3 linked regions of the Nothobranchius furzeri genome follow. The protein of the gene in region 2 interacts with the protein of the main gene of each other region in a pairwise test. Links are inferred from orthologs where the notes say so. Each region holds a gene or a part of one and is shown on either strand. Other genes may lie near its edges.

Region 1 (3,509 bases), on a different chromosome or scaffold from region 2:
AGTGTGGAGAACGATGAGGCGGAGGGCAAACCTCCCATCACGGTCAAATTTGAAATCCCCTACTTCACAGTCTCAGGAATTCAGGTATGTGTGTGTAGGCGCTACAGTCTAGTGCATCTGGAAGTGTTTGTTCTGGATCTTAACTTTGTTCAGGCGTGGTGTTGTTTGTCTACACACCTCTAAGCTGCTTGTTCTGCTCTCATGCCTCCCACTTCATAAACTAATGCAGTCAAGTCAGGTCCTGTTATGCTGAGTGGTTCACTGTGGAGAAACGCGTGCTAATTTGATTTAATGATGCACGCCTGTGTTCCTGCTTCAACACGCTTCATCTCAGTCATTCCTTTTGTCTAGGTCCGATACATGAAGATCATAGAGAAAAGTGGGTATCAGGCTTTACCATGGGTCCGCTATATCACACAGAGTGGAGGTACATTAGGGTTACACTTTTTCTAAAATATTCAAAAAAGAAAAGCAACCATAGCTTCTTTAATCTCTTGCATTTTCTCTATTTTTATTTAGATTACCAGCTGAGGACCAACGTGTAAAGCCTTCTGGATCTCCTACTGTTTTTTTTCACGTGTCCAGAAGGTCAAAATGAGCAAAATCATCACTTTACTGCACTGAAAGGTCTTTTAAACATCACCTGCTTTAACATTATTGCTTTAAAAGGTTTTATGGAATGTGTTTGCAGATTAAACTCAGTGTGTATTCTGTGATGCATCAACTTTATTTAAATTAAAATGAGCCCTGTGAAGCAAAAAATCATCAGTGGTTTTTTTCTTCCTGTTCTCGAGGGTTTTAAAGATTTTAGAATGTGTTCTAACACACACACACACACACACACACACACACACACACACACACACACACACACACACACACACACACACACACACACACACACACACACACACACACACACACACACACACACTCTGTAAATTCCGCCCAAAATTAAAACCCTGCACCCGCCTTTTTTACGCTGCTGAGGGAACCCACAGGATGAAAATCCGAATGAACTGCCCTTGGAGGACGCCAACGTATACGAATCGCCCGCTTTCTTCGCCTCGTGTCCTGATTGGTCAGCTGCCTCTGTTACTACAGCGATAGCGTAGTAACAGCAGCGCAGCCCCGCCTCTTTGACCATATTTGAAGGAATGACGTTGAGCAGGCGAGCTGTGATTGGTCAGTGTAGTCTCTCTCCAATGTTTGTAAATTGTAGACCGGGCACATAGCTGTTTGGATCTCAGCGCGCAAATGTCTAGTTTTAAGGTTGATAAACTTTCCACTTTTGAATCGTCTTTAAACGTAACCGCTCTGTAGGACCAGCAGGCTTTAAAACTCGGTGACGCGTCGGCTCTTGGCGAACTAAAGAAGGTAGGTTTGAAAGCTGTTGGACTGTTAGCTTTTAGCCAGGATGCTACTCGTTTGTAACATCTGATCAAAGTGAAATAAAACTATCGAGACGAGGAATGTTTAGTCGAACAGTGTTGTTAGGAAAACTTGGTTCAGTCGACCAAGTGTAACCACTGCATGTTTACAGGAGGTGTCAGCGGGGAGCTGCGGTACGTTAGCCGGATGCTGTAGTAACGTTAGCTAGGTGTAGCCGACTGCCGTGTCCCTGGCTCTTTGTTTTGATGAGACGCCGGTGGTTGTGGTTAGTTTTCTAACCTGGCCGTGTGTCTCACATCAGGCAGGAACAGAGACTATCATGGTGCTAAGTCAGATGGAGGCGGGGAAAGCGCTGACCGCGGCAGCAGCTAAAGGGAACACGGACGAGGTGCAGAGGATCCTGGAGGAATGCAGAGTGCATCCCGACACTGTCAATGAGTTCGGCCGGACCGCGCTGCAGGTGAGCGGCTCTCAATCCTCACGGGATTCCTGCAGGGGTGCCAGAACGGAGCTAAATATGTTCTCACGTTTCAGAAATAATCCCTCTGAAGGTTTAATGTCGAAGAGTAGATTATGCTACAGGAGATCTGTAATTTTAAATTAAACGACTTGTGATACTTGTCGGTCTGATCGAGCTCCATCACACATAGTGTAATGGTTCATTTACCTCCTCAGTAAGTCTGATGGTCACAAAGGACTCGGACCAAGTTGGAACAGAGAAACTGGGAGGGCAGTGACCCACCAGACTAGGATTAGGCAGTCTGATCAAGCTGTTTTCATGCAAGATTAAAAAAAAACTCAAACATTTTCAGCCAGTCACGCTCTTGCCTTCAGTTTAAGACATTAATAAAAAGTGATTTCATTTGGCAACCATGGACCACTATAAATCTTTTATTTCTGCTTCATATAAATTAATTGAGTGTGTTTTACTTTCATGCTAAATAAACTAGAAATAATTTCAGTTCCAGTAATTACAAATTAGTCTTGCTTATCCGCATGTTCTCTTAAGAGCTGTATGGAAAGGACCAATGTCTTTAGAAAATTGAGCTTTTATGATGACGAGGACATGTGGAAGTGACGAGTGACCAATGAGCCCTCATCATCTTCTTGTTTTTCTCTGTCCCACAGGTGATGATGATGGGGAACTCCAAAATAGCCAGTTTGCTGTTGGAAAAAGGAGCTGACCCCAACCTCCAGGACAGGCACGGCATCGCGCCCATCCACGACGCTGCCAGAACCGGGTTCCTCGACACCCTGCAGGTTCTGGTGGAGCACGGGGCTTCGGTGAACCTTCCCGACCACAATGGAGCGCTGCCCATTCACATCGCCATCCGAGAAGGCCACCGGGACGTGGTGAAGTTCCTGGCGCCGCGATCGGACCTGAAACACGCAAACACCAGCGGCCAGACGGCCGTAGACGCGGCCAGAGCTTCGTGTGTGCCGGATATGATGGACTCGCTTTTCGCTCACGTCCACAGTTCATAAGATTGATCTAAACTCAAACCTCACACTGTTTCGTTTTTGCTTTGAAACTTGAATATGTTGCTGTATGAAAGAATCGGAGTTATTGGTGGCTTAGCATTAATATGTGACACAGGACATATTGTCTTGGCAGCTTATTGTTGTGGATGGGTGGCTCTATACTGTAGACACCTTTTGCACAGTGCAGTTTAGGCACCTTAAATTTACATATATCTGTTTTCCCCATTACCGGGAGCGCACATTTGTAGATGGTTGTCCCAGTGTTATCTAATTGTTTTGATTGTGTAAGAGTTGTAGCAGTTCCTACTCGCGTGTTTCTTTTTAAAAACAAACCCTGATTGCTTTGCATAGTTGTTTCTCTTCATTAGATGAACTTAGACTTTCAATTCACTTATTATTTATTGTTGGAAAATGACTTAATATTCCCTTTGTGATGTAAATTGCAGCATTTTTTTTGTGATTTGTTGAAATGTTATTTATACAAATACTTTTAAGACAAAAGTGAGATTATTCACTTTAATATTTGCAGAAGAGAGCACAAAATAAAGTGATGAACTTGATGTCTTGTGTTTTTCTGAGCAAGTAAATACTTGTGGGGTTTGGTGTTGAAATAGAATCTAAATGGTTATAGGAGG
Region 2 (4,198 bases):
TGGCCCGCGTACAAAAGGGTCTCCTGAGAGGCTTCAGGACATGTTAGTTTGTCTGGTTGTTTTGGAAATGTTATGACATAATGGGTATTAGGTGAAGCTTAAACTGATGCTGACAAATGAATGTCAGCAGCTGAAGTGGTGACATCCATACTGGGGATTCTCTAATGATGACATTTCAGCACCGATGGCATCTCCCATCTCCAGATGGGTGTAGTCGTCATATTCTGAGAGACAGAGAAGAGATCTTAGTTTCTAGTAGGCTACATTTCATGACATGACTTCTCGGTCATTTTAAAGCCCCTTAACCTTTTCTTATTCTGGTAGAGCTGCGTGTAAGTAGACCGGATCACATGGGCTAACAATTGTGGAAGTCATAACCCACTACCAGACTCAATCAATAGTGAAGTAAATGTGATGGCTTTCACTCAGCAGTAACTTCACTCTAGCAGCAACAGTAATACCATACTTCTATGAGCAAAGATGCTCTTATAGAAAGAGATGGGAATAAAAATTTAAATGAAACAACGTCTTTATTTGTTGCATTGCATTAGCATTGCAATGCATGTCTTAGCTGCAACACACACACACACACACACACACACACACACACACACACACACACACCTATAATCTACTGTACTAAAGAGAAAGCATTTATTAATTGAATTTTTTTTTGTGATTTGGAAAATATTTAGACATATAACCATTGTAAAACGTGTTCCTATATTCCAGCAAATGTGCAGCTAAGGACCTTGTTGGATGTGCGCCATGATAAATATTTCTCCAGTACTGACTGATATTCATTTTTACAATACGCCATCCTGCTTAAAATGTCTTACATTAATGTAATCAAGATGTTTCCTATCATTTGGGGTCATTATAAAAGATGAGGAAGACTATTTTTAGAAAAGATAATGGCACAAAACACACACGTGTGTGTGTGTGTGTGTGTGTGTGTGTGTGTGTGTTCATATTGCTTTGGTTATATCTGTCTTTCTCTCTAAAATGCGATAAAAGACATCAAACTTAGAAAACTACCCCAAAACGTTGATTTTCCTGCTCAGTCCTCTGATAACACGCCAAACTGTCTAAAACGTGCATTAAGATTTACATTTCCATTCACAAAAACGTCTGTAACTGAAAAATTGAGCTATTTTTAGCCTTTATCATTCAATAATAGCCCCACGTGAACGCCTGTGGTTATTTTTAGAATAACGTACATTCTCGGCTCCTGCGTCAATGGAATCCCGAGCGTGCGTCAGACGGAATAACGTCTAAGCGTCACGCGTTCACCTGATTGGCTGCTAATCCGGAACGTTTCACCATGTTTGGGCATAGGCCCGCCCTTTTTGTTGACGAGGTCATAATAAAACAAGAGTGTGTGAAGCCGTCTGCGTTGGTCTGACCCAGTGAGTGTGTGTGGATGTGTTTGAGTGGGTGTGTGTGCCGAAAGCAGCTGGAGGAGCTGAATTCATCCGTTTCTCTGCTTTGGAATTAATTAAAAACTTCAAGATTCGGATTTTCTCATGCAACAGGTGAGTTACAGTCAGTTGTCTGAGACAGGAGAGGTGTAGTGTTACAGATGTTTATTCCGGCAATCAAACGCAACACAAACCTGAAACACCAAGGTATTCTAAGTTATTGTTGAAACTGTTTAATATAGAAGGGATGTGTAAATAGTGGTGTCATTTCCAAGGCTAAAGCTATAGGTTTAGCTGAAAGTTTATTCATTGAAATGTAATAAAAAGGCTACTCACCAGTCAGTGAAGCAAATAATTGTATTTAAGCAACAATAAGACTGTCTTGGGGTTAAGGCTGGTTCTTTATTCATGTCCATCTCAACTGTATGTGTGCATTTGCCAAAATTATGCCAGTTGCCAAATACAGAAGTATTTGTAAAGGCACAATCTTCATATGTTATTCAGATTCTCTTCTTAGTGTAGTTTGGATTGATGTGGTATAAAAATAAGTACTTATCTTAGCTTATCTTTCAGAATTTGTTGCGTTAACAGTCACTTACCCTTAAAAAGGTAAAAACAAACACCATACTGCTGCTGTTAGCTTTAGTTATGGTGTTTTAATGTGACTTCTATAGTAGAGAAAATAGGTTTGGGCTGGATAAGACACGTGGAGCATGTCATTTACTAAATGTAAAAGCAAAAAAATATTTATCACATTAAGAAAACTTTATTTTGATAACAGAGTTAAAGTTTTATTCTGAAAGCGACAGATTTTTATCGGTTGTGCTTCACTTGTGAAATGTTGAAGTGAGCACACAAGTGGATACACACCCCTCCACACACACACACACACACACACACACACACACACACGTGCTTCATCACCCTTGCCATTGCAGCTGGCATTCATCCAACCCTGAAACACAATCTGAAGCACACTGTGGCACAGCCGCTGTGGAAGAGGGTTGTCCTCCACTGAAGGAGGTTTTCAAAGCATTAACAGCCAGTAACACAATATCTGACAATATCTGAGCGCTCCACTGGACCACCCTCTGCATTTTCCAACCAGGACCGACGGGGCCTGAAGCGAGAGAAATGGCATGCGGGGTGAAATGAGACCGAGCACATTCAGGGTGCTAACATTGGCCACTGTTTGCATGGTTACAGAGGAAGAAACCGTTTTATTTATTGTGACAAGAAAGTCATAACCTTAAATGTCATGTAGAAATTTGTCAGGTTGCATCAAATTGAAATTACATTTTTTTTAAAGAAGCATGGATTAACTTTCCTTTTATAATGCATCTGTCCTTGTTTATTACTGCAGTAATATTTGACCTGCATGGTTAATTTCTTCAACTCTCTTTTTCAGCAATGCCCTGTGTACAAACCCAGCTTGCATCTCTGCCCCACGACAACTACTTCAGCTCTGAGCTCTTGAATCCAGACCTCAGTGCCACACTGGTGATGGAAATCACTGGCCAGAAGGACCAGTTTTCCACATCGTCCCTGCCCAGCATCAACACCCTTGTTGGAAATGGTTACACCAGGGAGTTTGATGCTTACACCTGCAAGATCACCACCTCCCCTCCCACCTCTGCTGTGTCTTTCAGCCACGCTGCAGCAGCTGAGAGCTCCAGCACACAGATGCAGAACCAAGCCTTCAAGCTGGACGACCTCCAGGTGTACGGCTGCTACCCAGGATCTTTCGCTCTCAGCTGTCTAGAAGAAACACTCTCGTCATGTGGCTCTGACTACTATGGAAGCCCCATCTATGGAACTGCTTCTCCTCCAACGTCAGGCTTTCAAACAGAGTCTGCACCTGTCTGGGATTCCCCTTTCAGCCCCTTTCCCCCGGCCCTCCAGACCTCTGTGGATAAGAACAGCATGGCTCAGCAGCAACTCTCATTTTTTACAGTCAACCCTGCACAGGATCAATATTCTCCTTTGGGACAGCACCAGGATGCCCCCAGTGGACAAGATGATCCGTTCTTCCTGTCATCTCAGCAGCATTTACCCCCAGTTCATTGCCCCTCCATGTCTATGGAACAGGGACCACAGGAAAGCCCCAGAATATTAGAAGGGGCCATGATGTCTCCTAAAAGCACAGGCTTAGGATCCAGCGAGGGTCGCTGTGCAGTTTGTGGTGATAACGCATCCTGTCAGCACTATGGAGTCCGCACTTGTGAGGGATGCAAAGGATTCTTCAAGGTAAAAAAAAAAATGTAGATTTACATTTTAAAGGGAAAAGTAGAACATTTCTATTAAATCCAACTGAAATTAGCACTAAATCATAATTATATCATCATGCATCTTTAAAAGTCTGTACTAATATTATATATATGTAGATATTTTCACTTCTTCAATATCTTTATTGATCCAAACCTAAAAAAAGAATCAGGTATTGTTTGAAATTGAATGTTTAGTTACTATTTGATGAGGAAGTATTCACAGATGTAGGTTAAAACATAGCAAAAGCTTTTGCTTTTAAAAAAAGAGCTTAAAGGTCAGATTTGTGTTTATTGTCTCAGGGTTATTATGCATCGTTGTGCATTCAACTCTTTTTCTCTGTTTTCCAGCGAACTGTCCAGAAAAATGCAAAGTACGTGTGCCTTACCAATAAAGACTGCCCAGTGGACAAGAGGAGGAGAAACCGATGCCAGTTCTGTCGTTTCCAGAAATGTCTTGCTGTGGGAATGGTCAAAGAAGGTGAGCAAATCTTAAAGCATTCAAGAGTTTGT
Region 3 (3,980 bases), on a different chromosome or scaffold from region 2:
AGCAACACAGCAGGAGAAATGCCAGCACAGGCTCCCAGTATCCGTGGTTTCAGGTGCTGGATATATTGTATCTTCACACCATAGACAATTGCAATGACCCCAAAGATAAAAGTCTAGTGTGTGTGTGTGTGTGTGTGTTGGTCATCAAATTGGAGAATCATGACAAAGTTGATTTACCGTAAGTCCTCTAATACAGGCCCAGGCCTGTATTTGACTCAAGCTCATCAAAATCCAGGCCTTTATTGGAAGGAGGACCAGAATTAGAGGCAGGCCTCTATTTCTATTTGAGCAAAATGAACTAATGGTTCGCTGGAGTTTTTGACAATTAAAATTGCGCCCACATTTTCAAAGTTAAACACATTTCTTTTAACAACGGTAGTTTCTGCTTCAGCCCTCTCCCCCCTCCCCCTGCGTAGCGGCTGCAAACTCACTGATGCGCCTGCAGCCTCTCAGTGTTCCTGCTGCTCTAAACATTAAAATAATTATTTCATTTTCTGTTCCTCACTTCTGATTACCTTCAGTGGTGTCTGTTTGTTGCAACCACCAGGTACAAAAACTAACTTGTTTTTATTTGACTATTTTTCTGTCCTGCCTGTTTATTATCTTCCTGCATCTTCTCTCAATCCTAAAGAAAAACTGCTACCTGGGTTCATATATATTCACCTTATGAGTTACCTTTGAACTGCAGTTCTAAAAGATCTACCGACCGCATGTTCTCTTTGAACTTGATATCAAATTTTCGTCTCCTCTTCATCTCCGCATGGTTAAAGTTACCCTCGCGGTCTATCACTCGCAAATCAAAAGTGAGACGATGACACAACCGCCCCCGTACTTGCTTGTTATCACATTCCACCCGGCCACAATAAGAGACCGGCCATTATTCACCTCCGCCGACTCCGACACCGGCCAAAATATGAGACCCGGCCGTTAATTGAATACAGGCCTGTATTAGAGGATTTATGGTATTTCAGTAATTCCATTCAATAGTGAAACTCATATATTAGATTAATTCATTATCACAGACTGATATATTTCAGATGTTTATTTCTTTAGCTTTGATGAGTGCAATTGATAAGTAATGAAAATCCCAAATTCTGCAGCCATGCCCTCATTTGAAAAGCTAAAGTAGTTGTAATGCTATTTGTCCCCAGCAGGGGGCGGCTCGGGGCAATAGTAAAGACACTTCGCTTCACGAGAAGAAGAAAACAAGGAAAAGGTTGGAACGCACCTCCGTTTTCAGAAACGCAACAATGGTGTCTGGTACCAACACCAATGTAAAGAGGGACCTTCTCTGTGCTTTTTGCTCCGCTTTGCTGGTTTTGAGCTCGGTCACATCCGCAGAGGAAGGCGCTCAGCTGAAAAGCTCCCAGTGTCACAACTATGCAGGAGGACACGTCTATCCCGGAGAGGCTTTTCGTGTGCCTGTCTCTGACCATTCCCTGCACCTCAGCAAAGCTAAAAGTGAGTCCCTTTCACGCTTTCATTCACTATTGGACCATACTATCATTTCCCAAACGAAACGGTGCGGTTTTGAGTGGTTTCCTCTCCTGGGAACCTGCAGCAGGTCTTTGGTCTCACGAGGACAACATGTGCATTGATGCAGGCTGCAGATTAACTTGAGATGTCTGTGACACCTGGTCAGAGTCTCGTGCAATTTAGAGTCTTCCCTTTAATACGTCTCAGGCCTAAAACGTTAGATTTGTTAAGGACACGTCACTCAATATTTGACAAGATTGTGTGTCCCGCCCCTTTGGAACTGCTCCAAAGCCAGCAACACACACACACACACACACACACTTATGTGCTTATTTATTTAAATTATTCAGGTTTATAAAAAACATTTGGACACACATTCTATTATGTTCCAGTCACTAGTCATTTATATTTCACTATTGTAGTAATTCTTGCATGCTTTAATGAAAAAAGTAACTAGGTAGTTATTTTTCTTGGTAATTAGTTACTTTTATAATCTTGTAACTCAGTTAGTAACCGAGTTACTTTTTTGACAAAGTAATCAGTAACTATAACTAATTACTTTTTTAAAGTAACGTTCCCAACACTGCCAGGGAGAGGGAAGTCTGGGCCAATAGGCGGCTGCCCCCGCGCCCCAGCCTCGGATAAGCGGCTGAAGATGGATGGAAGAAGTATATTATGCAGATTGTGTCCAGTGACCTTTTAGGAAATATAGGGCCTCAAAACTCAGTGGATGAATCTCGGAGTAAAATTAGGTTTAGATATGTTTTTAACAAATTTGTCCTCAAAATTTACAACTGGACCCATAATCATTTCAGGACTGGACCCTAACAGTCATTTTTATAAACCACCACAGTGGAAGAACACTGAATCCGCTAATCAAACCAAAGATCCTAAATTCTAGCAGTTATACATGGATTTATTTTCACTTATTGAAATGACACTAAGTATAACATTTTTATTCTTACTTTGTTTCAAATAATTACTGCTTTGTTCCTATCCAGTTGGCCTTATTTGTTTACTGGTAATAATTCCATTCCCGGCTGGTATTTGCTGAACGTACGGACGGTGTTTGGTCTGTAAATTCAGTTTTAATTCATGAGTGCATGCTTGTTTGTCTTTCTCTCCTGCTTAAGTTTCAAAGCCTGCACCGCATTGGGAAGGAACAGCTGTCATCAACGGGGAATTCAAAGAGCTGAAACTGTCTGACTACAAGGGAAAATATCTTGTGTTTTTCTTCTATCCGCTGGACTTGTAAGTACCTTTTGAGGAACATGTCATGTAAGAACTTTGTGTCTGCCTGAATTTCAGAGCATATTTTGTGTATTTTTTCTCCTTGCAGCACATTTGTCTGCCCTACTGAGATCATTGCTTTCAGCGACCGTGTGCACGAGTTTCAGGCCATCAACACGGAGGTGGTCGCCTGCTCAGTGGACTCCCAGTTCACCCACCTGGCCTGGTGTGATATCCAATAAGCTGTGGGTCGTTGGTGTAGTTTGGTGTGTTTTTGCTCACCATTTCTGTTTTAACAGGATTAATACCCCTAGAAAGCAGGGTGGACTTGGACAGATGAAAATCCCTCTGCTGTCTGACCTCACCCACCAGATTTCTAAAGACTATGGAGTCTATTTGGAGGACCAGGGACACACACTGAGGTGTGCTTTAACATTTATCACCTTCATCAAGTGACCTTGTGTGGCTGTTTTGTTGATGGCATGGACAAACTGTCAAACACGTGTGAGGGATGTTATTTATTTCTGTGAGTTATACATTTAGCCTCTAGGTAGAGCTAATCTCCCATGTCTGTATGTTTGTCAGAGGTCTCTTCATCATTGATGACAAAGGCGTCCTGAGGCAGATCACCATGAACGATCTTCCTGTTGGGAGATCTGTAGACGAGACTCTGCGGCTGGTCCAGGCTTTCCAGTACACAGATAAACACGGAGAAGGTACATGAAGCTACTTTTCTTTCTTGTCTTTTATTCACCACATGGGTTATGATAACTGCCCTGTTTCCCCTCCACAGTGTGTCCAGCCGGGTGGAAGCCAGGCAGCGATACAGTAAGTAGAACCCAGACTGTGGTGATCTTTAGTGTCTAGTTAGTTTCGTCTGTTTAGACATTTCACTTATCGTTGAGCTCAAAGGATAGCTGTGACACTAAACCTTTTATTTGAATGAGTCTACTGATCTTACAAATTGGTTTTTGAAGTACATTACGTTTTAACATTTCATGATATTTAAATCCATTTAGACTTGATTATGGTTAGTATATGTGTGCAAATGTAAGCTATATGCATATTATATGATTTTCATTGTTTTAACATATTTTAAAAAAAAACTATTTCTGATGATGTGGCAGTTCACCACGATCCATTACATGTAGAGGAAACCGTGATTTTATATACGCATGCAGAGTTCTACCTCTTATGCAGAGGCTTAATTATACTATTGGGTGTGTTATTGGTATTTAATAATGTAATTTTTACAAATATAATCTTTGTAACCT

The links. The genes of interacting proteins can lie anywhere in the genome.
Region 1: the proteins of probable nuclear hormone receptor HR38 (region 2) and cyclin-dependent kinase 4 inhibitor D-like interact in binary tests that used the Homo sapiens proteins (3 or more experiments, as listed by UniProt). The two-hybrid records come from large-scale screens. The link is inferred for Nothobranchius furzeri from reciprocal best matches to the Homo sapiens genes NR4A1 and CDKN2D.
Region 3: the proteins of probable nuclear hormone receptor HR38 (region 2) and prdx4 interact in a two-hybrid assay, tested with the Homo sapiens proteins (2 studies listed by BioGRID and IntAct). The link is inferred for Nothobranchius furzeri from reciprocal best matches to the Homo sapiens genes NR4A1 and PRDX4.

What each region holds. Positions count from the first base shown.
Region 1 is NC_091747.1:71,358,396-71,361,904, forward strand, and holds cyclin-dependent kinase 4 inhibitor D-like, read left to right. Parts: upstream 1-1,238; 5' UTR 1,239-1,377; intron 1,378-1,693; 5' UTR 1,694-1,711; coding exon 1,712-1,852; intron 1,853-2,520; coding exon 2,521-2,877; 3' UTR 2,878-3,009; downstream 3,010-3,509. Other genes in the region: ap1m2 (AP-1 complex subunit mu-2), read left to right, coding at 1-84, 352-427, 520-545. UniProt on the Homo sapiens protein: Interacts strongly with CDK4 and CDK6 and inhibits them.
Region 2 is NC_091743.1:50,513,119-50,517,316, forward strand, and holds the start of probable nuclear hormone receptor HR38, read left to right. Parts: upstream 1-1,398; 5' UTR 1,399-1,535; intron 1,536-2,829; 5' UTR 2,830-2,831; coding exon 2,832-3,668; intron 3,669-4,036; coding exon 4,037-4,166; intron 4,167-4,198. UniProt on the Homo sapiens protein: Orphan nuclear receptor. Binds the NGFI-B response element (NBRE) 5'-AAAGGTCA-3'. Binds 9-cis-retinoic acid outside of its ligand-binding (NR LBD) domain.
Region 3 is NC_091750.1:46,010,997-46,014,976, forward strand, and holds the start of prdx4 (peroxiredoxin-4), read left to right. Parts: upstream 1-1,180; 5' UTR 1,181-1,250; coding exon 1,251-1,461; intron 1,462-2,609; coding exon 2,610-2,727; intron 2,728-2,815; coding exon 2,816-2,932; intron 2,933-3,005; coding exon 3,006-3,128; intron 3,129-3,291; coding exon 3,292-3,422; intron 3,423-3,499; coding exon 3,500-3,534; intron 3,535-3,980. UniProt on the Homo sapiens protein: Thiol-specific peroxidase that catalyzes the reduction of hydrogen peroxide and organic hydroperoxides to water and alcohols, respectively.